Linked DNA regions of Drosophila melanogaster. The protein of the gene in region 4 interacts with the protein of the main gene of each other region in a pairwise test. Each region holds a gene or a part of one and is shown on either strand. Other genes may lie near its edges. The genes, in order: CG3081, CG44837, CG32369 and CG8079.

Region 1 (6,752 bases), on a different chromosome or scaffold from region 4:
GCTGGTGGATAGAGAGTTGCCCAGGAATAGCTTGGAGGTGGAACTGCCCAAGAACACCAAGGTCTCCTTGGTCATGGAGACCAATACGCAGGAGCTGATGATGCAGGAAGTGGTGACGGTGGACACTCAAGTGGAGAGGCGTCTGGTTTGCACCAGACGACGCACACTAACCGAGATTAGCGAGGCTTCCGAGGTGGAAGAGGACACGGAGAAGCTGCTCGAGCAGGACCGCGAAGCAGAGGTGATTCTCGAGCAGGAGAAGATTCTAGAGCAGGAGATGGTCTCAGAGCGGGAACGACATTTAACGAGGGAGAAGCAATTGAAGCAGGAGAAACTCCTAGAGAGGGAAAAACATTTGGAGCGAGAGAAGCTGCAGGAGAAGCTGCACGAGCAGCTCAGGGAAAAGCTCCAGGAGAGGGCCAAGCATCTGGAGAAGGAGAAGCTGGAGGAGGAGGAGCTCCTGGAAAGGCAGCTAGAAGAGGAACGGGAAAAGGAGCCAACCGACGGCGATGTGGCCTATGCCTCCGAATCCGAATCCGACGACGAGCCCGATGATCTAGACTTCAAGGCACCCGCGCGCTTCGTTCGCGCCTACAGACCCGCCGCTCTGCCCTCCAAGGCGGCCAGCAAGGAGTCGCTGCAGTCCATCGGATCAAGCAAGTCCGCCAAATCGGCAGAAGTTAAGCCCAGTATCGGAATGAAAGGCATGATAAGAAAGTCCATTCGAAGACTGATGCATCCCACGTCGCACACCACGCCATCCGAGGTAAAGTCCGAGGACAAGGATGAACATGGACATGGACAGGGCCATGGACAGCACAACATACTCAATAGCATTCGGCACAGCCTGCGCAGGAGGCCACAAAAGGCGGCCGAGTTGGAGGAGCAAATGGAGCCCGTTCTCGCCGACGTCTCCATTATCGACACCAGCGAACGGACCATGAAGCTCCGCTCGAGCGTTGCCCAAACCGAGTACATGACCATCGAGCAGCTGACCAACGAGAAGAAGCACTCACTGCGGAACAGCATTAGGCGGTCCACGCGGGACGTGCTGCGCCATGTGTTCCACAAGAGTCACGATGCCTATGCAACCGCCAAGTGAGCAGGTTGGCTCCACAGATTCAATTGGTGCGTCGATTTTTAGGGGATTTCAAATGGCATTTCTGTAACCGAAAGCATTTAAATTTATTTGTTATTATTTTTGAAATGCGCCTTCCCCTTGTTGAATTGACCCAATTGACTTCTTTTCAATTCGATTTTTCAGCACCTAGTTAAGTTTTTAATTGCACCCAAAGATTGTCACACAAGACCAGCGAAAAAAGGAAAGGAAACCTTATTTCATCTGAAAACCACATCATCACCTAGTTTTTAATCAAGTTTTTTTTCTTAATTTTTCAAGCGAACTCTGCAAATTAATTTGCACACTGTTTATAGTTTTAAGTTACTTGATGTTTGCACGTTTATTCATATATGTATGTATGTATGTTTGCCCATATATCTTTATATATATATATATATATGCTTTCTAATATATATAACATTTGTTTTTTTATACATAAACGTGTGATTTCCTATTCTTGGACCGATTTTTCCGACTAATTTGTGTGTACAGATGCATCAATTTAATGCTAATGACTAGCAAACATTTAAGTTGATAAGTTAATATACTTGCTTAGCTTATGGACATTTTTGTATAGCTTTCAATTATTCATTATCCCGTTTGTCCGGACATTTCTCTCTTGAGCGGACTGCCATCCTGGAGCACACCTACTTGTAGACAGTTTGGAGAAGGGGTCGCCGCCGCTGGTCGATGGGCTTGTAGGCGTGCTGATAGACACTGGCCAATCGCCAGTGCTCTGGATAGCCGCCCTGACCCGCTCCGCCCGCTTGGCTTTGGAAGGGCGGCACCAGGGTTTCGATGTCGTAATTCTTTTTGGCATACGGCTGCCGGGGGCGTGGCACCACCAGAACCCTACCACCGCCACCGCCACCTCCTCCGCAGCCCGGTTCTATTCCCACGAAATCACCGGAGGCATTATGCTTGGGCACTCCGGCGCGAAATGCCGCCTTACTGGTCAAGCAATGTCCGTGTCCGTGTCCATGTCCATGGTGATGACCATGTCCGCCGAACGATGGGGGACAGCATCTGGGAGCTGGAGCCACCTTGTGGCAGAGACGTCGAGCTGGACGCCGGAGGAGAACGTCTCGCTTGCATGGTGGACCACCCGTTGGCCGGCAATCCATGGCCCTGCAATCCTGTCCAGAGTCCGGACCCAAATATTTCTCCCTCAAAGCCTGGTAGGCTTTGTCGCCCAGCAGGGGTGACGATTGATACTGCTTGGCTAGACGATCGGGCATCCCGCGACCGGGTAGCTCCGCCAAATTGCCGAAACTCACACCGCCAGTTGGACCGCCGATGCCCGATCCTCGCCTGCAATGCGATGCACTGGAATCGCGGGAGACACTGCGTGCTCTTTGTCTGGCCGGTGGCGAGTAGTCGCAGGCGCACGGATCCTCGCGATCCACACGGGCACCGCCAAAATCCGTTCGCTTCCTCAGGATGTCCTTGTCGAAGAAATCGGCCTCACCAAGCGTGCTGGTGAAGACGCCAGCCGATCGGCCCAAGTCCGAGGACTGTTCCTCGCGAGGCGTTTTCACGCAGGTGAAGACAGCCGGTCCAGCGGAGTCATTGGAGCCATCTATGTGCCTGGCCAGGCGCGGCTCATCCGATGGATTCGCCGGCTTGAAGTCCCAACAAATGGCCAAATCCATGGGTCCCATCTTTTTGGCCGGAGCGGAGCCAACACCTCGAAAGGCATCGCCATTGCCGAGGGCACGTGGCACGATGCCACCGCCGGTCTTCGGACGAAAGACCTTCATCTTGGTGCAGTGCGTCGGACCAGCATTGTGCGTTTTCACACCCACGCCCGTGGCAATGGGATCGATTTCCAGGGCCAGGCCAGCATGTCCGCCGGATATTTGCGCTCGCCGGAATGCCAAATCGGCGACGCAATCGGGCAGCGGCTGGTGGTCCAAATTGTCCTGGTGCATCCGTTTGGCCAGCTCGAAATTGGCATATGCCGGCACCACTGGCGATGGACACCGCTCGTTGGGCTTCTCCGTGATCGAGTGCAGCGGCATCTTCTTGATCAAATCGGGTTCGGATACGGATACGGGATCGAGATCAAAGCTTCGTATACCCACCGTCGGCAATGAGATTAGATCCTTGCCCGGCTCCAGGCACGCAAAGCTCAACTCGCTGCTGCGCTCCAAGTGATCCGTATAGCGATTTTGGGCCGCTGCCAATGCCGGAAATTGACGACCGGCCGCCGAGCCCAGCTGCTCCCTGTACTTGATGGGCTGCGTGTCGCGCGTGTCCAAGGTGAGACGACCAAGTGGCACGCTGTCCGTGCTGTTGCGTTTCTGGTCGAGGAGCTCCTGGTGCGAGGGCAGCCGGAACTGCGGCTCTGTTAGGTCGCCCGGCGTGTAGCTCAGTTCCGGGAGAGCTGTTTGCGACATGATTGGATGGAGTAATGGAGTAGGTGGCTTTCAGGTTCGTTCACTTGTTGCAATGCGTTGGTGGTGCAGAATGGAATGGGATGAGATAAGATGGAGATGGAGATGGAGATGATAATGATGTATGATTTATGTACATATGTAACAGATGGTTTAACCTGGGTTTAGTTATAAAATATATATGCTATATGATTTGTGTTGAGTGCAATCGTGCTGCCCTTTAAAATGTATTTTAAACCTGCGGTTACAATGAATTTGATTTGAATTTCGGTTGAACAAAATAATGAAGTTTTACTAATGGCCCTTCGCCGCCTTGCGCTCTTTCTCCTTGCCCTTATCCTTCGTCTTATCCTTCTTGCCCGCCTCCTTGTCCTTTGGCTTGTCCTTCGGCTTGTCCTTGGGAGTGGCGACAGTCGCCGCCGGTTTCTCCGACGATGGAATCGGCTTGGTCAGCTCATTGGGATGCAATGCCGTTCGTCCTTTGGAAAAGGCGGTTATGGTGCGCTTTCGACGCCGCTTTTCGGTGGCCACACCCGTCGTCTTGATTGCCTTCGGCGTCATCTTCACGGTTTTCTCGCTCTACGGTTGCAGGTGAATGTGAATGTGAGTGTGCAGGGTGCAGGATGAAAGTGCAAAAAGTGCAACCAGAAATGAAAATATGTATAGCTTGGTTGCAGATAACTCAATAATCTGGGTGCACATAATTGGTAAGAGGTGACACCGATGGTGACCCCGATGGTGACCCCGATTCCCACTCACCACCACGTCGCACTTGGCCCGATTGCAGCGCGCACTCCGCTCGCTCAACGCCCTCAGCTTCTGTAGTCCCTCGCACTTCGTCTGGCACCGTTCGCGCATCCAGTAGGGATCGTCCTTGTGGCCCAAGGTCAACCGCTGATCGCAGGCCAGTGCCCTGCGGTTCTCTCGCTGACAATTGCACAGGTCACGCGGAAAGTCAACAAACTTGTACCGCCCACTCAGACAGGCATCGTAGTGGGCGCAAAAGGCACGGGTTATTCGACGCGGTAGCTCGTAGGTTCCACGATATTGGCCAAATGAGTTGCCCTCCCTGTGGATTAAAATTAAACTGTATAATTGTGGGGCATTGGCAATTGCTTACTTTATCACTTCGGGCAGCAGGTGACCGTTATTGGCCGCCACAACCTTGGCGTTCTTCTGCAGACCACGTGGGCGGGGTGGTGAGAATCGCGGATATTCCCAGTTGTTGAGACGCTTCGACTGGAATCGGCCTTCGAACTGCAACGAACGAGTAAGTAAGGAACTCGATGTCAGGGAGCTGGGCATGGGCATGGGCATGGGATTAGCCAGGAGTCGATAGACACCTGTTAGGAAAACGCGCACGCCCCCTGCGAGTAATGCCCTTATTTATGGTCCCAGCGCAAACAAGGCAATTGATAAAAAGAAAGAACAAAAAAAAAAAAAAAAATTGTAGAAGGAGCAGAGCAGAGCAGAGCAGTAGCCCACCCCGCAGCCGTGGCCAAATGTCAATCGAAAACCGGAACCCACCCCGGGCGAATGGAGGTGGGGCCAATTACACGGCGTAATCTCTACGCTGGAACATGTGTAGAAAGGCATTTGTCTAATGCCACTTAATGCCTTGTTTGTGTTTGCCTTTCTAAAAATTTCCAACATCTCTGCGCGCGCTAAAAAACGAGCCACTGCATCTCATCCAAAGCCCGGACCATTTATCAGAAGGATTAGCCAGCCCTAAGCGGGCACAGGAGCAAGTGAGCCCGGCAATATGCCTGCAATTGAATTGGATTGAACTACTATGTGGCATAATTGAATATGAATATGAGAAGTGAAATCTGTTAAATGGAAGATCATCTCTTCCAAAAAAAAAAAAAAACATGGAGCAACATCCAACTTTGGGAGATTCAAAGCTTTCAGGCTGCGTGGTCTTCCCACGCGTACGAATTTCAATTAAGGAATGCAAATGGACCTTCGCTGGTAACTCGATACTCGGAGCGCTCCGAGTGTCACCACTTGATTGAGGCCTTGATCGATGGGTGCTGCAGTGGGTGTTCCACTGGGTGCTGATTCCGTATTGTGAGTGGGTGTGACAAGGGCGCACGTTCGCAGCGCGTGGCTGTTTTGTTGGTCAACCAGCATTACCGCATCGGCGCTGTAATTAAATTTGCACGGCAATTACGCAATGTAGCTGTGCGCTCGAACAAATTGCGGCGTGAAAAAATACAAATTGATTTTAAACTCAATTAGCAACAAAGGAGCTAACAGCACTTGGCTCGATGGTGTGGTATCTATGCTAACGCTACACAATAGACAGATAGATACAGTGATGGGATAGATAGATAGATTGGTAGCATATATGGGTAGAATAGTTTGCACCCCTTGGATGAGATGGTTGAGATGGGTGAGGTGGTCACCCCAGCTGGGTGAAGCGATGATTTTTATGGCAACCCTCTGGGGTGCAATTTATCACATGGTGTCCTTGCATTCTCGCATCCGCAGGATTAGACAGTCAAAAAGCTAGTTGGCAAACACGTGCACGGTTGAATCGCTGGTTTAGGCCGAGGCACTGGGGTTGGGCTAGAAGTTCGCCAGAATGAAGGTACTTCTCTACTTTCGGGTACTCTTGTATCGTATCTAATGTCGCACTTGTATCCACTGGTGTGTCCTGGTCGAGGCGACAAGCACTTAAGCTAATTTCACGCTCTGCCGCCGACTATCCTTTGGTCCAAAGCTCCTGTATCCTGTGGATTGTGCTCCGCCTCCTGCTTCTGCTTCTTTCAATGCTCCATTCAATTTTTCCAATTTCAATTTCCGCTGGCCGAACAGCTGTCGCCCTGGCCAATTGGTAAACCATTAACGCCAGGCGTTTCGATTGATTCTCGAGTGCGATTCGAATAGATTCTTTTCGAAATTCCGTCACCACCGCAGTTAACCGATTCCGTTGCGATTGTGTGTGTATATGGCGAATAGCTGTGGACTCCCAAAAACGAGTTGCGTGGCAAAGGTTCTGGTCCAAAGTAACCGTTACCAAGTAAATAAACTTTAACTGTCGCTATTTGCAAATGTGCAAAGGCGGCGGTGGGCGGTGGGCGGTGGGCGGTGGGCGGGGAGGAAATGAAAAAGCGAGCTCAAACGGTTATGGGAGCGGAAACGGTAACGGAGCGGTAGCGGTAACGTTATGCGTACGACACTCAAAAACAAGAAAACACCCGACATATATTTTCAAAAATAAATAAACAAAA
Region 2 (7,568 bases), on a different chromosome or scaffold from region 4:
TGGGTCCATCATCGGGCGGCAGTTGCGATCGCTACGGCAGATCCCTATCTTCACGCAGTGTCGCACCCACTCGCACCACACCGTACAGTCGACCCAGGGTCGTTTCCGGATCCGGATCAAATGGCAGTGCCGGCAATGCCTCGTCCACATCGCCGCAGCCGCCGTCGGCTCCACAAACGCCCACCAGCCTGCACTCCACGTCCACTGGCTCCGTGAGCACCAGTGTGAGCAGCTCGAGCGGCGGCGGCATCGGATCTGCGCCGAGTACTGGTTGCTTCAGCAGTTCCTACGCCCAATCCGGCTTCATGTCGGTCGATGCCAGTCCCACGGCGTCCGTGTTCTCCTATCCCAGCAGCTGGCAGAGCAATGGCAATTACTGGAACGCCACCAGCGTGCCGGGACCCATGCCCATGAACGTGTGCAGTGGCCGCAACATCTGTAAGTACTTCATGGAGGGCAGGAGGAAATGCTTCTGCTTATATCTTTGCAAAAATACCCGAAAGGCTAACCAAAGATACAATACGTTTGCTAACAAGCTACGTGACCTTTGAACTTTCGAAACGGAAATTTAATTAAAAAGTACCTAGTGTTGCTCTTAAGTTTTCGCGTATCAAAAGTTTTGAGCTCCTTGCTTTTGAAATAATTTAAGAATCGTGACAGTTTTCAATGCACTTAGCAATTTACCATTAAAGTAAAATATATACTTAAATATTATTAAGTAAGCAGAGTAATTTTTTTTGTAAAAAGTTCAACTTTGGACAATGGTATCACCTTTTTGACAGTTTCTAGTTTGCTGCACACATTATAATGACTATTTACAATCATGATATGGAAGATAGGTGACTGATAAATTTAATTTTATAGCATCTCATAACTCTCCGTCGCCGACGAATGGATCCCCGAGCTATACGACCTCCTCGCCCAGCTACACCATTCATCACCTGACGCCACACAGTCATCAGTACAACATGGCCCAAACGGATATCTATGGAACCGGAGTGGGCGTTGGGGGCGGGGCAGGAACAACGGGATCCCCGCAAGCGGCATACGGTGCAGCTGCCCACCAGGTGTACCATCCCACGCCCACCTCACCCACTCACCAGCTGTACACGAATGCGGTTCTCAATGCGCCCTCGGCGCTAAGCTATTCCGCCAGTGGTTGGCACAATGGATCCGGGGCGGAGTACGGACTGTACCAGAACGCTGCCGCCGCGTATTACCAGCCGGAATACATTCCCCTGGAGATCGGGTAGGTTGAATCGGTGGGGAACTGTGCGCACTTACCGCTAACGTAGCTATCAATGATTTCCCACCAACCGCCTTCCAGCTATGCCACTCATCCGTTGGAGCCCGTTGATGTTTCAAAGACACTGGACGACCCCCAGGCTGCCATGTACAAGCCGAGCGATGAGCAGGGCTCGGTCATAACGCTGGAGTGCGCCAGTTCCTCCCTGAAGAGCTCTCACGACATCAAGATAGAGTCCTCATCCCTGGAGCACGCCGGGGAACGGGGCACTGTTGGCGGTGGAGCTGCCGTGGTCTCGGTGCCAACCGCCGTGGTGAATGGAGCTCCGGCCGTAGCTGCCGACACCTGGACCCCGCTCACTCCGCCACAGAGCACGCTGCAGTGATCGGATCATCCCACGGATAAACCCACAGCCTTTAGACGCATGACCCCCCTGGATGTTCGATCGAGTTAGAAATAAACGCCCTATGTTAGTAACGCTATTAGTAAAGCACACCCAATCGCAATCGCACCTATTGTAGAACTATCTGTACGCTGTAAACAATCTCCTATAAAGTCGTAATCAAACTATGCAAATGGCTAGAATTCATTTTTTCAGGTCCTAACTATCAGGCAATCATTTCATCATACAATGGTATCATCTACATCATCATCTACATACAATGGTATTTAAAAGTTCTTTAGAGTGCATTATTAACCGAGAAAATATTTCCTAGTTGAAGACTCCTGTCATGCTTTAAGTTTCCCAGGCCGTTTGTTCCTGAGTATTGCACAATAAAAGTCTCACACCCCTTAGGGCCACATAGAGTGTGCAATTGCATCCTTGTGGTAAAACAAAAGATAAAGTCTTGAGTTTTCGAGGGGTCAGCCAACAGACTCCAACTCTATTTGAAATGGCAGCTATTAAACCTAAAATCGTCTTAACAATTACAGACAATAACGATGTGAGGGTGCGAGAAACCCAACTGTGAGCTTAATCCCGGCAAGAACAGGCATCCAGCTCATTGTCGGATTCAAAGGGGTATTCAATTTAGTTTAAAAGTTGAACCCATCCCATGCGGGCCACTCGCAGCCAGACAATGGAGCACTTGGCAATGGCAGAGTCAGTGCCCCAGGGCGATCTCCAGGCGGCAATCTGCCAGGACCAATCCAGCCGTGAACCCGGAATGTCCACAAAAGGCCTCGCTGATAATGAGTTTGGGAAATGCCTGTGTATTGGAATCTCCGCCAGAGTGCATTAAAAGCTGGATAGAAAGTGGAGGCCCTCTGAATGTGCCGCCATTCACCTGAATTGCCGGACACCCGCACTGCAGATATAGTTGCTGCAATTAAAATTACACGGCGCCATCACTTGTAAAAGGGCTGTGCACGGCGGGAATTTGACGCGGTTTTGGATTAAATGGGCAAACAGGAAACAATTAGCATTCCACTTAATTGCAAAATATCTAAAATTTCAATAACTAAAGCCATTTGCCTTCCTATACTGATGGTATAACAATAGACCGACATTAATAGACAATATAAGCTTCGAAAGTTACAATTTGTTAATCATATGTTTCTTATTCAACCGAAATTGTTTTCAGTTTTTATTTGTATTAATCTCTTTTGAACGTAGTTTTCACTCACCTGATAGTCCATTGAGTTGCCATAGCCCATGTGGTTGCAGGAGCAGGAACAGTGCTTGATATGCTGCTCCAGCTCGTCATCGATGACGGTGGTGCTGGTTGTTAGGTGTCCAAGTGCCTCGTGATGGAAGTGGGCATGCTCGAGATCCCAGTGATCCCTCTGGCGAAAGCGAATGTCCTTTCCCTGCTGCTCCAACAGCTCTACAGGATTTGCAGCTTGATGTGGCTGCGGGGATAGATGCTGTTGCGCTTCCCCGGGCCAATCGAATGAGCAGGACTTGAACACACGTCTGCCACCCGTTCCGCCCACCGCTGTGGATTGTGTTTCCCTGGCGGGACTGTTCTGTGGACTGGGGCTAATGGCATTAACTTTGCTGTTATCGCTCTCTTGGGCTGTTAAGCTGCCGACTCGCAGGAGAGCGCCGCGCTCGAAGCTTTTGGCCGCCTGGTGGAAAGCTCCGTACGCAACAGTTTCGTCCTCCTCAACATCGCTGGCATTCTGGTAGCGACGCATTGGCGGGGCGCCACCAGTTGCTCCGGCCACGTTACCGTTACCAATGGCCGCCGCCGTTGGCGTCACAGTTACCGCCGAGCTGGCCGCACTGAGCATGAGGCGGAGTATTTCATTGGTGTCCTTCGACGGCAGCGGCACACTGCAGGAGCCCGTTTCCGCCTCGGAGATTTCCTGTGTTTCCGAGTTCAGCTCATCCGAACCGTTGGGCTCCTCGACTTCGATCTGTTGGTTTTGGCGTGCACGTTGGCCCACTATCGAGGCGGCCGTGGAATTGGCTCCGTACTTCCAGTACGTTTTTCCAGTGCCAGCGATCCTCTGCAGATGACTTCCAGCCGCCTGACGTTTTCGCTCCTGCAGCTGTTGGAGATTTTTAAAGACTTTTCGCACCGGTTGCGTGTGATGCAAGGTGGCACATCTTCTCATGGGCGGCGGCGTATATACCGGGGAAACACTGTAGCTGTGCGAGTGCCGACCGGGCGAAAGTGAGCCACTCGACTTCGCGCCCACTAAGCGGGCTTTCAGTTTACGGCCAAAGCCCAGGCCACTTCCGCCTGCCGTTGCGCTTCCGGTTCGCGAGGTGAGTGAGTGGGCGGACAAGGAGAGGGCGCGACTGAATCGCAGAGCCGCTGATCTCTGCTGCTTGACGGCCATCAGCTGGCACTCGTCGATCGTCGGCAGCTTTAGCAGGTGAGGATGCAGCTGGGCATAAGTTAGTGAAGGCTTCGCACTGGGCACATCCGGTGAGGGATTCGGCAGCGGATCGAAGAGGTTTCTCTGGCTGAGGGCCAGGAACTCGCGCTGCTCCTCCTCCTCCAGCGCCTTCAAAGCACGCAGGTCCCACTCGCCAGAAGACATGGTTCCCTTTAGTCACTCATGGATTGTTAATTCTTTTTCACGAATTTTAGTTGATATTTGAGTAATGACACGCAAATCATCTTTATTTATGTTTCAGTATTAGCACTTATTCTGGTCTATTTACTTTTAATTTGCATATTTATGAAAATAAACACATTTTTGGTGGCCTAAGTATTCAAGTATTCAAGGATATAACATTATAAAGGAGGTACAACTTATATGTACATATAATATATTGAAAGCAAGTAAAATAATGTAAGCTAAGTAATAAATATAATATACAAAAAATAACGTTTCTATTATGTAAGTGAAAGTAAATGATAAGATAGTAGATATAATAATCGGATTCCAAACGCTACCTATTTTTACTCTTTCACTAACAATGTTATGTTTGTTATGCTTTTCCAATATCACGGCGTAAACTAAAACAAATAAATTATAACACGTCAATCCCGCCAATATTCCGTCACATTTTCCGTTGGATAAAACCGCTAACGCTACCCGGTTCAATTCAATTACCGTTGCCACGCGGCGCTGCCAACACACTGGGCTCTTCAGTGCTGCGGTACCGTTACTTTATAACGGCACTGCTAACAGCAGCAGCAACAGTTTCCGCAAGGAGTACCCCCCAGTGGATGGATGCTGTGGATCGTAAGTGACCTGGCCCAACAAAAAAGTATGGCAGTGGGTCGCCATGTTAACAGTATGTAATGTAAAGTCCATGTTAATGCAAAGATATTTTATTGTAATACTTATTTGAAAAAAAGTAACTATAAAATATAAAACAAATATCCATTGGAATCATGTAACAATAAAAAGAATTTAACCTCCAAAGTAGCGTTTTTTTGTTTTAATGCTATGCCTTAACAGACCTTAAAACATTTTTACCAAACAGGGCTTTTCTTATTGAACTCAATAGCATACATTCTTCTTGGTAATCAAAGTTACGCTTGCTCCTGGCCACAAAGCCAAAGTCTATTGTTTTATGATGGTGTTATCCCAACTTGGGGCAAAGAGTTGGCCCAAAGGTGATACCGCAGGTGACGGGGCGGCAATGAAATATGCAAGTGCATTCATTTGGCATCCAAAGCAATTTCGCAGTCAGCAGGACGACGACACATAGCCATTTTTGTTAACCTCATCTCAAAATGTTCACCGACCCCCAAGCCAGCACTCAGAAAAATATAGTGTGATATCTAATATTATGTTTTTAAATTCAATATAAATTATTTAAAAAATCAATGTGCGAATAGCTAGAAAACATGATATATTTTAGTTGTACAGATGAAACGGCCCACGCATTAAAATTTTTTTTGTAGTGTGACCATTTCTTGTAACTTAACATTACAATGCACGGCCACATTTCTGCACACCTGTACCTGGGTACATATGTAAGTACTTGCTCATGGCACACACATACTCTGAAGTGCTCATCCTTCATCCTGATGTATGGCCATCAAGCATCGGATGGGCTGAGTGTCGGAACACGGAGGGGAAGTAAGTATGTGCACCGCTGAATCCCCCGAATCGTGTTAATGAAATTCAAGCTGGGTCAAAAATTTGCATTAGCACATCCGGCATCCATATGCAAATCATATTTCAGATACGAGGACTCACATGATTAACAAAAAGCGGATCGATGGGACGTTCGTAAAAACAAAAATATATATGTAACTTTGTGGATATATATCCATTGCTCCATTAAGTGACTTATTTTAATCTTAGTATGCAGGCAAAGGAATAATTAATTATTATATAATTATATTAATTGCCGTTCTCTTATAATAAATTAAATTTTTTCTATGGCACAACAATTATTTGTTAATAATTACAGGAAATATCTACTAAATAGACGTTTAAATTGGTTTTATTTAAACCTTTCACGTAAATGTGAAGGCGTTGTGGTAATTAAAAATATTTAAATATTAAGAAAAAAACAGAAAAATGTGGTTTCCTATTGTCTTGTAAAGCCAACAAATAATTATTTTGAAACATTGGCTTACTGCAAATTCCCGTGGGAATTTTGCTGTCTAAACAATTTAAAAAGGATTCTTCTTTATTTAAAGCTTAATAACTTGGAAAGAGAACCAAAAGTTGGCCCGTGAAGGGCTCAACAATGTCGGAGTCAAGCCATAATTTTTCGTGAACATGTTGGCCAGCCACGCCCATGTCCTCGACGGCAAATCCCTGCCACAGAGGATGTCAGAAGTCAAGATCGAAAACAAGTGAAAGTTGCAACAAGCCATTCTGTTTGAGGTCTGCGTTTAATTTTTTTTATGGGGACACTGTAGCCAGTGAGTCGAATTCGAACAGGACCTCTTTCCTTGACCAAATAACGAACTTTGGCTGGAAGGTCGGGAACATCTGCGCCACAAGTTGCGAGCCCAACCAAGCCACCGAACTTTATTGAATAGAAATTCGGTTTCGTTTCCAGAAACTTCATATTTCTGTACGTTATTGTTCCTTCCCCCGCATGAGATACTTTTGCTGTCTGGCGGCGATTTGGTTTCCAAATGTTAACCCTACCCTGTCTTCTCAACTTATCCAGAAAAGGGTGAAGCCAAGCACCACGAAGCCACAAACTTAAATAAGTAATTTTGGGATACAATTTTTTTTTTGTAATTTTCTAAACACAAAGTAATTATTTTTAAATACAAGAAATGGTTCAAAAGGAATGAAAAAGTGTTTCAGTTTCAAAGACCCACAGCCAGAGGCAAAATACTTGGCACCAATTGGCGCTGCAAGGCGTGTTCAAATTCATTAGACATTTGCAAACTGCATATTTGTCATGTGTCCCAAATGCGGGGCATTTCGACCCGTGGATGCAGTTGTCCCAGTGGATATCTGGATATTTTGGTCGTGGTAACCAAACCACTCGAACCAGCTGGACCCGCAACACGGAGTGCTACAAAATGGCCTGATTTATGGCCCCGGATGCCGTGCTGACATTTGGTTCCCGGCCAGCACCTTCCGACGCATTCGATGGCATTCACGTGCCAGCGGACTACTAAAGTCGAAATCACTGGCTCTGTACAATTGTCGATTTCTGTTTAAGTTTGTGGACACAAAATGCAGCTCTTAATATCCTTGTAATAGGTGACTTTAGGCCAAGACTATAAACAAGAATAATACCATCTTAAACTAAACTTGTAAAAGTCTTAAAATCCATAAATATAAATATAAAATGCCAAAATTAAAAAATATTTCAATCTTTTTTAACGCTCCTTACTTTATAATTTGTTTTTCTCATTTCAGAATTTTTTCTGCACAAAGTGGCGCCATCTTCTTTGAGCGAAAGCTTTCAAAGCTTTCAACCTTTGGATAAATG
Region 3 (7,316 bases), on a different chromosome or scaffold from region 4:
ATCTAAAAAAAAAAAAACAAAAGAGAAAACCTAAAGAAACTCCAACAGAAGTGCTCGAGATGCTGCAGATTAGCTATAATTTACTACCTAATGTCAAGTCATTTGTTAATTATTTTACACTCAACTTAATTCATATTGAGTTCCATAACATTCTGTATAAGTTTTTGTAGATTTTGTTAACCGAATGAGAAAGTTATGCTTCTGTTATGGTCTTTAATTTCGTAATAGAAACTGAATTTAATTAGTAGGAACTTCAAGAGATAAGAAGTGAGATTAAGGCAAGGCGAATAATTATGTTTTACGAAAACTGCAAGAAAGAACAAACAATAAAGGTTTAGATACAAATTTTGAAACGATAAATGCAAAAAAAAAAATGATAAAAACTGTTTCATTTTTCTGTGGATTTTGTGGTATACCATTAGGCGAGTTTTTTCCTCTGAACGAATAGCCAACTTCGGGGCAGCATTGTCAAAACAGAGTGGTTGGCCTTCAAAGCAGCTGGAATACACAGTTTTGAGTAACTGGAGGTCAAGTTGATTGCATAATTGGTGAGTGGAGAGAGGATCTGAAAATGGTAACTGGATATGAGATAAGCTGTTAAAACTGTTGGGTGCAGTTGACATGTCGCTAAATAAAGCTGCCGGAAACTCAAGAACTGAAATGACGAACTTCAAGTTCGGATAAAATGCGCATTCTAAAACAATGTATACCATTCAACATTTAATCTGTGGAAAAACTTCCATGGATTCCAATCATAAGACAAATTCTCACTTCCACTTGGCAACAAACGAAACTCGCCCGACTTCAATTAACATTCACTAAAACAACGAAAAAAAATAAATAATTTGTTTGTCAGCTTCACACACCTATTTCAAATTCAGCTGAACCAAAGCCCAAATCGGTGATATACACTATTATGCAAAAAACATAATAAAGCAAAAAAAAAAAACTGAAACTAATTTCCTCATATATTGCTTACAAAATAAACATTTCAAACATGAAACTCGCAGCTAATTTCCGTTGATGAACAACAAAAGCAGCGCCAACTATTTGAGAAATGGGAGCTGTATAACCGGTACACAGTCAAAATTTAATTATATAATTGTACATGGTATTAAAATATATGGTACTACTAAAATAACGTTAATTGCTAAACAATTAAAGATTATTGAGATTCTACAACTCAGAAATTTGAAAATATATATTAGAATAAATTTTGTTAATTTTAATATGTTTTAATCTGTAAACTTTCAAGCTTTGTTTTTTTTTTGAATGCAGGCTTAAACCAGACCCAGACCTGAGGCAAAGCAATTCGATTACTTCCCTATGGGGAAATGTTGCAATAAATGCGAGCAATGCTCAAACATAAGCGGACTCCACTCGCCCGCCCCGCATATTTTTATACTGTCCAAGACTTACGAAAGCGAAAAATGAGTTAACAACAACGGCCACTCAAAATGTTAATGGAAACGCAGCAGCAGCAGCAGCAGCAGCAGCATGAAAACTGGTAGTATGCAGGCAACCGCTAACAGACAACGTTGAACTTGAGCTTGAAATACAAGCCAAGCGGAGCCAAAAGAGAAAGACGGGAAGTAGGGGGAGGGGAAGCGATACGCGGTTGTTATAAGCCAAGTTTGTCGACAACTGCATTTGTTGATCAACCCAAATGAGGTCAACGCGTCGTATACGTAATTTGCGTTAAATGACAAAACAATATGTAATAGCCACACAACACTTACGAAACGCAGATATTCGATATTACAGACGAACTTTAACAACTCTGAGCTCTATCGGGATAGGAAATCTATAGCTTCAAAACCTGTTTAAGGATTATAAAATTAATACATCTTGTAATGACATGTCTGAGAATTAATCAACTTATATTTTCACAGTTTAATCTATTGTGTATTTTGTTATACAAATTTCGTTATTAATTTTATAAGTTATTTGAGTAAGCTTTTATTCTATTTTACATAATCTAAAAACTATATTTGCGTATTAAACAAAATTACAAAATTTTATATATGTAATTTAGTTTAAGTAACAGAAAATCGACCGTATCTGTTGTGATTATTGATGTTTGCTTGGTGTTTATATGGCTGTAGTCTGTTGAGTGGCGCCGGAAATGCGCATCATACGATAAATGACGCCCACTGGCAAACTAGCACCCCCAACACCACCCACTATCCCCCAACCCAATAGTTTTGCAAATCACCCACCGCAGCCCCCGCTGCCCCATCATTTTTCTTGGCGTCGCCTGTTGTGACAGTTGACGGTTTGCCGGCAAAAATTAAAAAAAAAAATAAAATGCCAGAGAGAGAAGTGCTAAACAAAGAGAGCTCAAGGCACAGACATCGATGACGCAACAGACACATCCACGGAGGCGTAAGAGAGTCGACCCCAAAAGAGAGCGCCAATTTTTCGCTCCAAGCCAACGACTGACTTTTCACAGCAGTCATTCGCTGTTGAACAGCGGCCGTGGCAAGTTCAGACAGCAGGGAGAGTTTGAAAAAAAAAACCAGGCCGTAATACAAATACAAAAAGCAAAATAATAAAAATTATACAAAAAAAAAGTATGAATAATAAAAAAGGCAAATAAAAAAGCAACAAAGTGGAGCGCACCCCATAAGCAAATCATCGCCGAGCCACTCGAACACGTTGCCGCCGTTGCTGCTGTTGTCGCTATTTCTTTCGCCCAGTGCGTTCGCTCTCTCTCTTTCTGTCTCGTCGCGTAACGTAAGCGTATTACAAAACAAACGCCAACGTAATCAAAGAAATAAATAAAATAAAATAAAGGTGCTCGCTCGCGTGTTTCTCGGTGTGAATAAATGAAATAAATAAATTAGTCACAAAATATAAAAAGGGGGTCCAAGTGCAGCCCCCCCCAAATTGCCGCACACCCTTTACGAGAAAGAAAGAAAAAAAGTTAACCCGTGTGTGCGGCGGGGTTACGTAAAGCCGACGGACAAGCGCCGTTCCAAGTTCTTACAAAACAAAAAAAAAAATATATATAAATATCAAACAACACATAACACGAGTGAATAGATTCCCCAATTCGATTTTTTCGCACGCGTGTGGCTATAAATTTTTGGCAAACAAAAATATATACAACTAAATACAACAACAAAATTTTAAATAAATTGCAAGAAGAAGAGGGAGAATTTCGTGTGTTAGTGTGTGTGTCTGTGTGTGATTCTTGAGCAACAGTACACGCCGCACCCCCCGCGAAAAACCTACCCTTTTTTGGGGAAAAACAAGGAGGCGCGGTTCAACAGCGACAGGTAATTCCATTTCTGCGCTCTCTTTGCCACTCTTTCGGGTTCTCTTTGTGTGTGTTACGACATCAAACCACATGCTATGCCTCTGTTTTCAATGTGAATGAACGCTCGACAAAGTTGCGTTTTCAAAGATTGGCACATTCAAGTCTCTCTCTTAGTTTTTCGCTCTTTGTCGGGGAAAACAGTTTTTCATTTGCTATCTGCAATGATTGTGAAAACAAAAAGTGCACTGCTTGAGTCTAGCGGAGGGAAAACTGCAGGGGCGGCTCTTACGTGTTGCCATATTTTTAAAGGCATTACTAAGCGTTTTTTCCGCGCTGCTTTGTTGACGTTCTGTGGCCAATTGAATTCGGCCTGCACTTGATAATCATTTATATTTAATGTGTGATAAAACTTCCGTGGAAAAATATATATCTTAACGATTTCGCGATAAATTAGCTCAGATAAGCAAAAAACAAATGGTGGAAAGAACGATTTGGGAATTTTAAAAGAAGTAAAATTAAGAAAATAAACAATTCAACCTCGTTAAATTATAGTTGACACAAATTTTATATACAAAGTTAAAGTATATAAAATATAACTGGTAAAAAAAAACGTCAGTTTTTTTCATTTTCATTTCATTCATTTTCCTTGAATCTGTCGCGTTGTCATCGCTTTCGTAATTCTCTGGTTAACAGTTTCCAATCCCCGATAATCTACTAAAGATTCGCCAATTTGTCGGGGTCACCACCCAATATTCGTCAGCTACCAAAGCGAGAAACTGGGCTCCTTCCCTCTCCCCCCCTCGACCGCATATGCCCCTCTCACTCGGTTGACGTTTAGCGTTACGACACGCAATGTACTACGAGTATTATGCGACGTTTGCTGCCAATGAACAAGCCGCAACAACACAGTTCGCCCACTTGGCCCAAAACGAAAAACGCCAAAGGGGTTGGGGAAATGCTGAAAAAATATGGTTAGCTCGAAAAGAGGAAAAACCTATTTGCATACGTCATCGGGCGAAAAAGGTTCGTCATGACTCAGAGTCGAATATCGAGGAAGCCAGACTTCAAACAGCTGGATCGTTGTTATATAAACCAAGTCAAACACTACACCGAACTTATGTAAGGCCCAAAGGGACCGGGCCAATTAGTCACAGCGAATGTGGGGGTTCTTGTGTAATCGGTGTGAAATCAAAACCGAAAACCTGAAAAATCACAAACTATGTAGAAATTTTTGGTTGCTAATTGGCTTGCCTCAATAAATTCTTCAGCCCAGTTTCTTTTGTAGTTATTTTGAGCTATTTATATCAGCGTTTATCGCCGTCGTCATTGTCGTCCATTCGAATACAATGTCATAAAACGTGTGAGCCAAGCAAAAAACGGCAAGACAAATGAGAAACCAATAAAACAAATATCAAAGAAGAAATCAAAATGTACAAAACCAAATAAACGCCAACATTAAGGCAATGAAAATGTATGCGATTTCATAATTACGTCGAAAACTACCATCGGAGCATAATCACTTGGTTATGCAATTTATTGGCTTATGTGGCGTGATTACTTGGCGATTAAAGAACTCTATCAGAAGTTCTTGGGATTTTAGGAAATTGGTGAAAGACTTAAACAACTTTGTAGGAATTTCCACACCTGAGCTGTTGCTCATATCGTATTTGGGTACATGAATGTTCATGAAGATGAATCATTTGTTGACTCATTTTCATAAGATAGCAATTTCATAGTTGATACAGAACAACTGTCGTTTTCAATCAGTTCTTTACAAGCAAGCAAATAGTAATTATTTCAACAATCGCTCAATGAGTTTATCACATTTAGTGCTGTAAGTTCCTTTATCGACTTCAATCACTGCGCGCCTACAATCACTTATCGGACTTAAGGCAAACAATGCCTGAATTCAGTTGACTTAGAATACTGACAAACGCCGTTGTAAATGTAGCTATATACACATATTATATGTCAACGCTGCCATTTTGTCTGAGTGACGACGGACAACGGTTGTTTGTATCTACGATTGACATTGCATAATATTGTGAAAAATAAAGCAATCTACGCTATAAGCTATTGCCCTGAGGGCGTGTTCAGGTAGCCGGGCTTCACATATTTGTTATTCACTTAGGAACAATTTATCGGATACGGATTATGCAATAGGACTTTACGTACACGGAACTGCAACCACGATTGCACCAGGATGCACGTGCAGTTATATGAGGCGTATACATAATTTTTACTTACGCAAAGCCGAGCGGCAACAGGAACAATTAGAATCGAGTGCCTTCTGGCTTGTTTACCAACTTTTCCCTTGTCCAATACAATGTTTCACAATGCCAGCTGATATGAAAGTTGGAGCTCCCTATCTCAATCTCGTTCGTTACCTCTCTATTTATATATACTGCTTATATGGTTTCGTTTCCGAGGCGGAGATTGCGCTGTTTTGCTTAAAATGATCAGAAAGTGAGTTCTCTCGAGTGCTACAATATCGATATCAGTAAATTGCTTTCGAAAGGGAAATTTCTGCAGGGCGAATTCGTGAATTTCAAGTACAATATACAGGGAACTTAAATGTGAGTGAGGACTTAAGGTCACGTCGTGATCAGCTCCAACTGACTGAAACATTAAGTAGATATTATCCAATTAATTTCTATATTTTTGAGTTTCATGCTGACGATTTATTGACCCTCATAATAATCCCACTTTATTTCAAATTTTCTATCTCTTATCTTCTATTGCCAGTAACTCGTTCGTTTGAAAGTGTATTATCTGTCTAATCTAACCAAAAAAAAAAAAAAAGAAATAATACCTACCCAGATCTTATGTAACCTGCAGCCGAAATTCTATTCCGAATATAACATGCGTGTTTAATTTTCATTATATTTTTTGGGTCGCCAACTCGATCAGAAAGTCTCATGTAGATCGTATATCTGCGGACATATAAACACACCCTTGATAAATTCATTTTCTTGGCTAACTACCAACTTATAAGATATTTCAGCATTACTTAACAACGAGATTTATGCAAAAGCAGAAATCGCCTGATATAAAAATGATTTTGCCCGTGTTTCTGTGTGCGTTTTAATATCGCTGCCAATGAAGAAAAACTAAAAATTTCATTTTCACGCAGCTTTGTAGTTTCATTTTATTTTGGCACACTTTTGATTGCCTTTGCAAATGTAAACAAATTATGAGCCAAAAAAAAGAACAAAAAAGCAAGAGAAGGAAGAGCGATCTTGATGCCGGGCGGACGACAAACCAAAAAATTGTTTACATAACAAAACCAGAATGCGAAGGCAAACCGAACTTTGCAGGTGTGTGAGAGTGCGCTGTATCTGTATCCGTGTGTTATGCCGGCATTGTTTATCTTAAAGATACAATACGAACGACGTCAAAAGCAAAACGTGCGCACAATCAAAAATAAAATAAAACCGTAACAAGCCAAAAACCAGACAAAAACAAAAACAGATTCTCTTTAATGAGCTACTCTCTATTCGTATCTCACAAATACACGCTGAAATGGTTCTCGTAAAGAGAACGTAAGAGAGAACGGCTAAGAGAAGGTAGACGTGCGCAAGTATTGGTATAAAAAGTATCTGTGTGCCGATGATTTTGATTTCGTTACTTTAGCCAGCGTCCGCGTCAGTTCGCTCTATGTGATTCAGTGTTAATTTTCATAATATTATGTAATAGCATGTGCCGCCGCCTGGTTGCGATTCTATTCTATGCCCTACCTTGCGGCGATTTAATGGATTTAGTTTGGCTTTCTACGGCTTCCAGGGGGCACTTTGCGAAAGTTCATTGAACTCGACAGTTTATATAAGAACTGTGCCTTAATAATTAGCTCTGTGCTAAGGTGCTGAACGTCACGTCATCGCTTTTTGGGCCTGGTGATGTGGGAAATGCATTTCGAGTGCGTGATATCTGTGGCGTTCTCCAGTGGTTAAGTAATAGATACTGTAGTTCTTCTTCCTCTTCTTCCTGGGCCACCCAGTAATCCAAGAGCGCGAGAGAGAGGGTTCTCTCTTTGATTTGATTGTGTGTGTCTGTG
Region 4 (10,466 bases):
CTGGCTAAATGGCTAACTGCCCATTTGGCCGACTCCCCGACAGTCGCACCAGTCGGATGTCGGATGTTGGCCCGGTCCAAAGATGCTACCCGTCTTGCGCATTGCTGAAATGGAATGGGAAATGGGCATGGGTTTGTGCATGCTGATGGGTATGGATATGGAAATGGAGTGAGGTGAAGGGACGTGGTGCACAGCAAAAAAATATGATACGATCAGAGTAATTATCTCTTTATTTAGTTCAACAAATATAAAAGGGATGGATATAGTATACAATAATAAAAAATGTGGTTCTATATCGTCCGTTTATAATTTTCAGATCTAAACCAAAATATTATCTTTGTGCAGTTTAGTATCTCATGATAATGCGTGGTGTGAACTATGCGTCAGCTTAGAAAATTGCACTTAAGACAGACTGAGATACGACAACAGATTTAGTTGTGCATATGCATGCATCCTATTCTATCCTTTCCTCTTAAGTAAGCCCTAAAATTGAACTTTAGTCAATATTCTATTAATCTCGCCCAGACTACTACATATAGTATCTTCATGACCTAATGAGCCACCGAATGCACCATTTGTATATGGCCCTTAAAAGTTGAAAGCTTGCTCTAAAATGGCCAGGCACTTCTGCCGTAATCACAGAAGCACCTGCCCAGGTTCTCAGGCGGCCAGGACATGCATTTCAGTGTGCAGGAGCCATTAAACCGAAATTGCCAGACATAAAGCTGAAACTTAACCGCAGGCAGCCGTCATTAATGCGTTCGCATCATAAACTTTATATTGCAGCAGGCCGCGTGAGCTGTGCGGACATCAAGTGTGGGCCAAAGGATAACTGCCTGGTGGATCTGCAGACGCGCCAGCCGAGATGCGTGACCTGTCGCTACAAGTGTCCGCGGAAGCAGCAGCGACCGGTGTGTACAGATTTTTTGTAAATAAAACATTTCCTTTCCTATTATGAATTAATTTTGTAATATTAGGTACACAAAATATGCGGCTACAACAACCAGACATACAACTCGTGGTGTGAGATGCACAAACACTCCTGCGAATCCCGCTACTTCATCGGCGTCAAGTCCCAGGGTAGCTGCTAGGAGATCGGATGCATCTCTCGACCACATCGGCCTAGGGCTTTATGTAGCGTGTTCTTCCGTAGCTCCAACATCCAAAGATTCTCGTTGTGCGTTTTCGTGTTGTAATCGGTGGATGGGCCTGCGGCTGTTGCCCAAGCCTACCGAGCTTACACTACATATTATCCGATACACTTAACATACAGGCAAAGTATTATCAACCTTACAACATTACGTATTGCAGCAAATCTTATCCAGCATGTATCGCAAGAGAAACCACATATCTTAAGAGGCTTTTGTATTTAACATTAACATTAGGCTACACGATAATTAATTTAAACGATCGGTTTGTATGCCCATTAGGCTCGCAATTAGTTTAGACCAACGTGTGCGAAGTCGTATTTATTTAACATTACCTTCCCCTATTCTTTTTGTTTATAAGCGAAGCTAAATTAATTAATTGACTGATAGCTTAACCTTATAGCAAGATTTTTGAATTAATATATACATACATAGAATCTATGTGTATATACATACATATATATTTACATACACTTATAAATATGTTTGAGTAATTGTTAATTAAATGTGTTTCCAACATCATTCAAAATGTCTTTCTAATCACTATCATCCGATTGTCCAAACATATCACTGGCGCGCTGATATCGCGCCTGAGTGATCTTCAAGTTGGCCAGCTTCCGTTTGTCAATGGTTCTGGAGCTGGACAGCACTGGGTCACTGTTTCCCAGACCGCTAGTGCCCTCATTGGCTACCACATTGATCTGCGAACGGGTTGGTATTAGAAGTAGTGACTAGCTTTATAAGTCTAAAACACTTACCGGCTCCAAAAGTCCAGCACTGGCATTTGTTTTGCCCAGTTTTTCGCCCTTTTGCCAGCCCAATTTACTCAGCATTTTAAAACCCTTATTAGAGCTACCGATTTCACTAAAAACGAATAACACATTGGTCAACCAATTCAAGTTAAGATGTGTAAGCTGATACTCACGTGTTCACACAAGCCACCTCAGTCTTTTCTTTATCTGTACTGCTGCCCACCTGGACTCTCCTTGTTGCGGCACGATCATTGTAGTTGGACTGCCCATTGCCGCTAGTATCAACGAATTCTAAAAGTGAATTAAGGATTGTCAAAGTAAAGTGAGAGTATAAGTTGTCTTGTATTTACTTTCGTTTTCTAGTCCATATTTGCGCTGCAGTTTTTTTAACTGCTCCTTGTGAGATAATACGGATGCGGTGGATGAGGCAACAGCGGCCACTACCGGCGGAGAATTCTCTATCAAAAGGCCCGGCTCGCACAAACCGCAGGTACTGTTACCCTCGTGGACATGACACAGTAGTCTTGTTTGGCCCAGAGTGATAACACTGCCGTGAACGAGATCCATGGCGTCGCTGGACATTGGGGATCCATTGAGAATGGTACCGTTTCGGGAGCCCAGATCAAGACATTGGTAGATTCCCAACTTGTTCTCATACTTAAACTTTAAGTGGCACTTGCTGACGTTCACGTCCGGAATGATAACATCGTGAGCGCCCTCCCGTCCAAGAGATCCACCTTTGTATGTGATTAGATGCAGGCTTCCCACTTTCAGCGACTCTACGTTAGTCTCCTGGACAATGATGCGGAGGGAGGGTGGATACTTTTTAGCAATGTCTAAGCAAAGAAGAAAGCGTTAGTTAAACAAACAGGGAAGAGCGCGATAAAAACGCGGATAACTTAAACACCTTGAAAGCGTCCGGCAGCCTTGAAAACTGGAACACTGCTGTCTTCCGTGTTGCTGCTGCTATCCTCGTTGCTAGAGTCGGAACTGGAGTCGCTGCTTTGCGACAGCTCGCCCTCCTCGGCATCATTAGACCGCTCATCATCAGAATGCCTGTGACGCTTCTTGGACTTGTGACGGCGCTCCTTCTTGGATCTCTTCTTGCTGTGCTTTTTACTCTTCTTTTTCTTGGCTTTGCGCTTGGATTTTTCAGCTTGATCTTTGGCCTTTTGCTTCTCGGCCTTAATCTTCTTCAGCGTTTCGTGGTCCGTAATGACGCCTCCCAGCTCATCGAACTGCACCTCCAAATCCTCGTCCTCCGATTCCGGTTTGGCCGCATCGTTCGCCTGCAACCAAGTTAAGAAAAGAAATCCGCGTTTTTATCGCACATTCTGGACCTTGACTCTTACCTAATGCATTGCTACGCATTCGGTCTATGCGGAGTTTGTGAAACCCCGCTAAAAGACTACTATAGGCGCAGTCGCTCAAAGGCTGCGCAGCGAGGAGGAGAAGAACAGTGGTTAATGTGGTCGTATGGCATTGAAATCCGCAACTACACCCACTCACCTGTACCTGGGCCTGAGAGTGGAACTCGTACGAGTCTTTGGCGTGATCATAGCTGTAGTAGCAGCCGTTGTTACCATCGTAGTACAGCCCGTACTCCTGCGAGGAAGAGAAAAGCAGGTGTAGATTAACAACAATCCGAGCCATTGATGTAGGTTTGCCAGCGCGATAACCCCTGAAAGTCATCGCGGTGCAGTCACTGCATCGCGGAATAGAACGGGACGTCATAAAGATTGCGTCCGCTGTTTATAGCTTATTTACCGCGTTATAGTAGTATCCCGTCTTGGGATCGTAGTACATGCCAGAGGTGTGCTCGTAAACGAAGTTGTTCAGGTTTTCGGCGTGCTTGGCTGCCTGCCTCATTTCGTCCACAAAACTGAAGGCGTCCGTCGCCGATACTGCAAATATAAATTATTTTCCAAACATGACTTGTAATGTTTTGATGGTTATTGATAAGGTTTTATAAATATTTAAGACAATATAGAAATAAAAACAGAAACCTGTGGTGAACGACACGAAAATGAGCAATGTTATCAGCAGTTTTGAAAAACATTTCCTTATTTCAACTTTAAAAATAGTCGGAAATGGGTTGTAGTTATCTTTACATTCATAAATTAATGTTTATAGTTATATGTATTTAGACGAACTATAAAGTAGCTATTTAAGTGTTAGTATAAGAATTCTAATTATTTTTCTAATCCCCTGAGTTTTGCGTAATCATATTAATTCTATTAAGAGTAGTGTCAAGGGCTGCTCGGATTTTTGTCAGGGGCAGTGGCGTTAGCCCATGCGACACTTCAGTGCTTATCTCGGGCATTACCGGCATGGAATGTTTGACGTACTCGACCTAGGACCCCGCCAATACTCCTCAATAGATAGACAAGTGGGTGGGTTGCGCTTGTAAGATGCGGTCCTTGAAACGGCCTTATCTCATCGTAACTAAGAAGGCGTGTTGCAGCTAATATCGCCCTGTGACAATTTATGGCTTTTAGAAAGTAAAAAAGTGAAATACGGCCTTGGCCATTTTTTCCGGAAATATGGCACTCTACGAAAAGTTATACAACAATTTAGTACAACGGAGGACACCTTATTTGTAGATACTGAAACACTTTTTAATAGTAATCTCTTAATGGATTCTTGTGCCATGCGATCGGTGTCCATCCGGGATTTATTCGCAGAGTTAATTGTGACATATTTCCTCCTTTCCAATAGTCGGCTAAAGACGATCTACAATTAATTTGTAGGGTGCCGAATCTGAAGCTATTGCCACCAATTGACAAGCGGCAAACGAGACAACGAGCGATTAGCATGTCGCGCAGTTGTAGTTTCAGATTCGGAATCCGCAAATCAGCTACTTAGGTGTGTTTTCGTTTTTAATTTGCTACGCAGCGCCCATATTGCAGCGGCAGCAGTTGTTTCCAAGGCGCACTGCATCTCAACGCCTGGCTCTTATCAGGCACCCAGGGCAACTCCAAATCGCCGTGGGCTCGCCAGGCGCCTGGTTAGTCGTTACTCATCGTTCGAGGCGGTTACAACTAAGACAGATAGATTAGCCAAGCAAAATGCTGGACGCGGAGGTGCGAGAACTTATGCAACCCTTTGTGTTGAGTGATTACCAGGTGCAGGAAGTGTACAGTCGCTTTTGCCTGGAAGTGGCCCGTGGACTTAAGCGGTCCACGCATCCACAGGCCAACGTCAAGTGTTTTCCCACGTACGTGCAGGATCTGCCCACGGGCGACGAGATGGGCAAGTACCTGGCCCTGGATCTCGGCGGTACCAACTTCCGAGTACTGCTCGTCTCGCTGAAAGGTCACCACGACGCCACGGTGGATTCTCAGATCTATGCCGTGCCAAAGGACCTGATGGTGGGGCCCGGTGTGGACCTATTCGATCACATTGCGGGCTGCCTGGCCAAATTTGTGGAGAAACACGACATGAAGACCGCATATCTGCCACTGGGCTTCACTTTTTCCTTCCCTTGCGTGCAACTAGGCCTTAAGGAGGGCATCCTGGTACGCTGGACTAAGGGATTCGATTGTGCTGGGGTTGAGGGCGAGGATGTGGGCCGCATGCTGCACGAGGCCATTCAGCGGCGCGGAGATGCCGACATTGCCGTGGTGGCTATACTCAACGATACCACTGGCACCTTGATGTCCTGCGCCCATCGTAATGCAGATTGCCGGGTGGGTGTCATTGTGGGAACTGGCTGCAATGCCTGCTACGTTGAAGATGTTGAGAATGTGGACCTATTGCGCGCAGACTTTAAAAAAACGAAGCGGAGTGTGATTGTAAATGCTGAGTGGGGCGCCTTTGGTGAGGGTGGTCAGTTGGACTTTGTGCGCACCGAATACGATCGCGAAGTTGACGAAAAGTCTCTAAACCGATCGGAGCAGCTGTTCGAAAAGATGACGGCGGGCATGTACTTGGGCAACCTGGTGCGCCTTGTGCTACTTCGTGCCCTCGAGCGCAAGCTGATCTTTAAACAGAGCAGTCGACGTCCAGAATTCGCCAGCGTGCTGCAGAGAAACGAAGAGGTTTTCGAGACGCGCTACATTTCGGAAATCGAGGACGACTCCTTCCCAGAGTTTGCCAGCACAAGGAAGATTGTGAAAAATCTGTTTGGTCTAGAGAAGGCCTCCGTGGAGGACTGCCAGACTCTGAGATACATCTGCGAGTGCGTAGCTAAGCGAGCGGCTACATTAGTAGCCATCGGAGTCAGTGGGCTGGTGAACAGGACTTCCAACCGCCGCGTGATAGTCGGCATGGATGGCTCCGTCTACCGATACCATCCAAAGTTCGATGCCTACATGAGGCAAACACTCCAAAAGCTGGTGAAAGCAGACAAGGAGTGGGACATCATGCTCTCGGAGGACGGATCCGGACGTGGAGCTGCGCTGGTGGCCGCGGTGGCCAGTAAAACAAAGTAGGAACTCACTACTATTGTAGCAATAATAGAAGGACTCAGTGTAATAAAACAAATTTTAACTCACAATCGTTGGGCTGGTCTTTTTTGTTAGTATCCTCATCGTTTTCCATGGAATACTGGCATTCTTGTAATTCCGATTCAGTTGCTTGGCTGGCTTTGTCACACGAAACCTTTTCTTCCCGGCTTACCTTTAAAATAGATCAAAAATTAAGACCATTTTAGCTCAACCTTTAATTGGGACTCACGTAGTGTAGGAGTTTTTGTTTATAGGACGCCAGTTTGGTGTCGTATTTGCGGATAATCCCGTGCAGCTTTTCGACGTACTGCAGTAGTTGTTGCTGCTCGCAGGTTTCCAGGTCCTGTATGCTCTTCAATTCGATGGAATCGTACTTGGCGACAGTGTCCGCCAAATCCTCCTCTTCAGCCGGTAACGACATTGTTTAACAACCGTCGAATCTAAATCAACTTTTTATAGGGATCACAAGCCGATTTGGGGAGTTTCAGCTAGAGATGGAGAAACATCGATGCTAGCATGGATGTCATCAATGTTTTCAAAAAATCGCATTCATCGATGTTTTCGAGGAATCATCGATGTTTTTCCATCTCTACATCGCATCTGAGGAGAAAAGCGTATAAATTGTAAGTACAAATTAATTTTCCATATCTTCTAATACAATTATTAATACCATATTGTGGCGTCGTGATAGACATGGAAAATATCTGAGAAGAAAGTTTTTAACACCCGAAAAAGGCTTGCACATATGAATGCATGTCATATGCACGTCTAAATGTATATACATGTATGTATGTAAACGTGCATTTGTCTTATAGGAGCAATTACTGGACCAGCGGAGGATGAAAAGGTGGACACCAAATACTGACGTTTTATTTAAGCAACATTAAAATAAAAAGCAATTATTTTTATTTAAAGCATCGATGTTTAAAACGTCGATGTTATTCGCCAAAAACATCGACATCCGCCAACATCTAGTTTCATTTCAACTAACAGTCGTTTTAAGCACTGGTGGCTGCAAAGTTAATCGATTTATTAAGAGATGGTTGCTTTTACACATAAAAAAAATATGCCTAGTTTTTGAAAAAAAAAACAACTTAGTTCTTATCAAGATAAAATAAATATGGCAACGGCCTAAAAGAAAAAAAACTTTTTCGGTATTTTTAAAAAAACAAGTAGTTTAATAGCAAATTGGCTTCCAATACATTTCCAACTGGGATTAATTGTCTATCGAAAAAAGTGTCATCTCTACCCAACCAAACAGCTGTTCCCTCATCTACATTTGTTATTTAACCATTTTGGTCGCCGAAAAACGAAATAAGAATGAATAATTGTATTAAAGTAGTGCCCATTGCCCTAAGGTGCCAGCAGAGGACCATCAGTACTTCATCCGTGCTGGAGGGCAAGCGGAACTTCCGTAAATTTAACGCATACAACAAGCGCGGTACGCGCGTGGTAAAGGAAGCCCAGAAAACACTGGCCAATCCGCCGGTAGCCATTCACAAGCGAGGTGTACGAGACACGGGCATACTTGTCGACGGGCAGTATGTGGAGATTCCCGAGAAAATTCCGGACATCATAGTTCCCGATTTGACCGGTTGTAAGCTAAAGCCATACGTGTCCTATAAGGCGCCGGACGTCGTCCAGTCGGAGTTCACCAGCTTGGATCTCTTCAACGCCGTCTACTCGCAGAAGATTATCGAAGATTTCAAGGCGGGAAAACTGCAGAAGGACGGCAGCGCCAAGGAGCCCTCGGTCAATGAGCAACTGACTCCGGAGGAGGCCTTGCAACGCGCTCGAAAGACGGGCAGCGATATATTCTAGACATAGGTTTATTGTTTCTTAAATACAGAGTCTAAACTCGACTACTCCTGCATGTACTTTTGGCGGTAATTGTACAGCTTGCGCAGCCACTTCTCGGCCTTCATATCCGGGTCGCCCAGGAACTGTCGGAATTGAAAATCAGATACTATTAGCATGTATATTCGAGCACCAGGTAACCCACTCACGTTCGGATGGAATATTACATCTTCGTTTCGGACTGCAGTGGCTGGCTTGCTGGCGACTGTGACCGTTTCATTGTTCAGATCTATGATCACCTTATCGGATGTCTCCTTTGAATCCCTGGAGCTAAAAAATGACTCCGGCTTGAAGGTGTCCTCGTCTATAGTCTCGAGTGCCTTTTGCACCTTGGTGTCGAACAGATCGATGGCCTTCACGGGAGCAGCTGCGGGTGTGGTTGCGGATCGGGAATTGCTTTCCGAACTTGGACCCCTGGTTTTCCTCTGCGAAATAGACCGCGATTTGTGATGATCCCTGGTTCTGCTTTTGCTGTGCGTGCTGCGGGAACTACTCCTGCTGCTGGAGGAGCTGCGCGAGGTGCTGCGACTGCTACTGCGACTCCTTCTCGAGTACTTTTTCGACTTCTTGGCCTTTTTCTTCTTCGGTTTTGAAACCTGCCGGCTGCTCCTGCTGGGCGACTTTGATCTGTGTCGTCTGTCGCGGTCTCGCTCTCTGTCTCTTTCTCGGTCCCGATCTCTATCCCTCTCTCTGTCGCGATCTCTGTCACGGCGGTCGCGATCCCTCATAATGTGTCCTTTATCGGCAGTTAATTATTTATTTAGTTTTTTATTTATGTTATATTTCTTGTGTGCCGGACGTCGCTCATTCCCAAAATACAAAATCGCCTGTCAAGAAAACGCAACATTTTTACGAATATTCCAGCTGGCCACACTGATTGTGTCAACATGTTTACCGCCTATCGATTTTTGGACTTATCGACCGATTTTAATTTAAACTAATAGGCGCGAATTTTAATTATAGTAATCACTTTAAAATATTTAACTTAGAACTATGTGTAATATTAAATCAATTAATTCTTTTTAACATATTCATTTAATATACTACATTTATTGAGTTTTGTCCTTACCGGCTTAGCATGTCAGTTTACAGACTGATGTGGGGTCTTTTAATGTCCAGTTTGCCGTACGCCCAAAGCAGGAAATACTAATTGCTGATTAACTCTTAGCAATTATACCTAATCAGCAGTTATCAAGATTATAGGAGACCTTATCGCTGATGACCACTAGCCATTCGTTAAATCAACTGGGATCGAAATTCCCACACGATCTATCAGTCTTGGCGAATCAAACCATTTTGCAGGCAAAAATAAACAGTCATAAATTAGGCAGCCAAATCTAGGAATCCTTATCAAGTTCCTGGGGGGCATATAAAAGGCACGGGCGGCCAAGTCAGCGGTCAAAGCACCTGCACCTGTGGAATACAAAATGTTGGTGGTTCAGCTAATTGCGGTTTTTTTAAGTCTGGGCTTGGCTAATGCCCTGCCTGCGGATACGGGGCGCGCCAGTTCGGTGACAACTGTAAGTTTTAGGATGCCATGTTCTTTGGCACCCAAAAGTCCTTACTAACCACTATATTGCTCTACTTTCCAGGTCACCATTGTTAGGGGACACGGTTACGAAATCGAGGAGCACGAGGTGCAGACCTCGGATGGTTACATCCTCACAATGCACCGCATACCGTACTCGAAGAACACTGGGTACGATGGGCCACGCCCTGTTGTCTTCCTTATGCACGGTCTGTTGTGTTCCTCCTCGGATTGGGTTCTTGCTGGACCTCACAGTGGGCTGGCATACCTGCTGTCCGAAGCGGGCTACGATGTGTGGATGGGTAATGCCAGAGGCAACACCTACTCCAAAAGACACGCCAGCAAGTCGCCGCTGCTGCAGCCCTTCTGGAATTTTGAGTGGCACGATATCGGAATCTATGATCTGCCCGCTATGATGGATTACGTCCTTTACTGGACAAATGTGACTCAACTTACGTATGTGGGTCACTCTCAAGGAACCACATCCTTTTTTGTGCTCAACTCTATGATTCCGCGCTTCAAGAGTCGCATTCGATCTGCTCATTTGCTCGCTCCTGTGGCCTGGATGGAGCATATGGAGAGTCCTTTGGCCACGGTCGGTGGACCACTGCTTGGTCAGCCCAATGCCTTCGTCGAGCTCTTCGGCAGCGCCGAATTTTTGCCAAATACACAGCTAATGAACCTGTTCGGGGCTCTCCTCTGCAGCGATGAGGCCATTTCACAGTTCATGTGC

What was found.
Region 1: the proteins of CG8079 (region 4) and CG3081 interact in a two-hybrid assay, tested with the Drosophila melanogaster proteins (one large-scale study listed by BioGRID).
Region 2: the proteins of CG8079 (region 4) and CG44837 interact in a two-hybrid assay, tested with the Drosophila melanogaster proteins (one large-scale study listed by BioGRID).
Region 3: the proteins of CG8079 (region 4) and CG32369 interact in a two-hybrid assay, tested with the Drosophila melanogaster proteins (one large-scale study listed by BioGRID).

Annotation. Positions count from the first base shown.
Region 1 is NC_004354.4:4,637,558-4,644,309, forward strand, and holds CG3081 (uncharacterized protein), read right to left. Parts: upstream 3,606-6,752; 5' UTR 3,520-3,605; coding exon 1,768-3,519; 3' UTR 1,702-1,767; downstream 1-1,701. Other genes in the region: pon (partner of numb), read left to right, coding at 1-1,102; CG3062 (uncharacterized protein), read right to left, coding at 3,811-4,095, 4,276-4,585, 4,637-4,773.
Region 2 is NT_037436.4:11,934,101-11,941,668, forward strand, and holds the start of CG44837 (uncharacterized protein), read right to left. Parts: upstream 4,773-7,568; 5' UTR 4,600-4,772; intron 4,408-4,599; 5' UTR 4,241-4,407; coding exon 2,873-4,240; intron 1,820-2,872; exon of another isoform or gene 1,632-1,819; coding exon of another isoform or gene 1,328-1,631; exon of another isoform or gene 1,306-1,327; coding exon of another isoform or gene 1,296-1,305; intron 1,250-1,295; coding exon of another isoform or gene 865-1,249; intron 439-864; coding exon of another isoform or gene 1-438. Other genes in the region: byn (brachyenteron), read left to right, coding at 1-438, 865-1,249, 1,328-1,631.
Region 3 is NT_037436.4:7,804,962-7,812,277, reverse strand, and holds the start of CG32369 (uncharacterized protein), read left to right. Parts: upstream 1-2,452; 5' UTR 2,453-3,281; intron 3,282-7,316.
Region 4 is NT_033778.4:15,214,767-15,225,232, reverse strand, and holds CG8079 (uncharacterized protein), read right to left. Parts: upstream 6,853-10,466; 5' UTR 6,770-6,852; coding exon 6,578-6,769; intron 6,521-6,577; coding exon 6,397-6,520; exon of another isoform or gene 6,334-6,396; coding exon of another isoform or gene 4,969-6,333; exon of another isoform or gene 4,904-4,968; intron 3,805-4,903; coding exon 3,668-3,804; intron 3,506-3,667; coding exon 3,410-3,505; intron 3,335-3,409; coding exon of another isoform or gene 3,190-3,334; coding exon 2,808-3,189; intron 2,737-2,807; coding exon 2,251-2,736; intron 2,192-2,250; coding exon 2,074-2,191; intron 2,013-2,073; coding exon 1,907-2,012; intron 1,850-1,906; coding exon 1,685-1,849; 3' UTR 1,418-1,684; downstream 1-1,417. Other genes in the region: Fs (follistatin), read left to right, coding at 787-911, 978-1,091; Hex-C (hexokinase C), read left to right, coding at 4,969-6,333; mRpL41 (mitochondrial ribosomal protein L41), read left to right, coding at 7,669-8,169; CG11808 (uncharacterized protein), read right to left, coding at 8,211-8,291, 8,355-8,933; CG8093 (uncharacterized protein), read left to right, coding at 9,633-9,725, 9,798-10,466.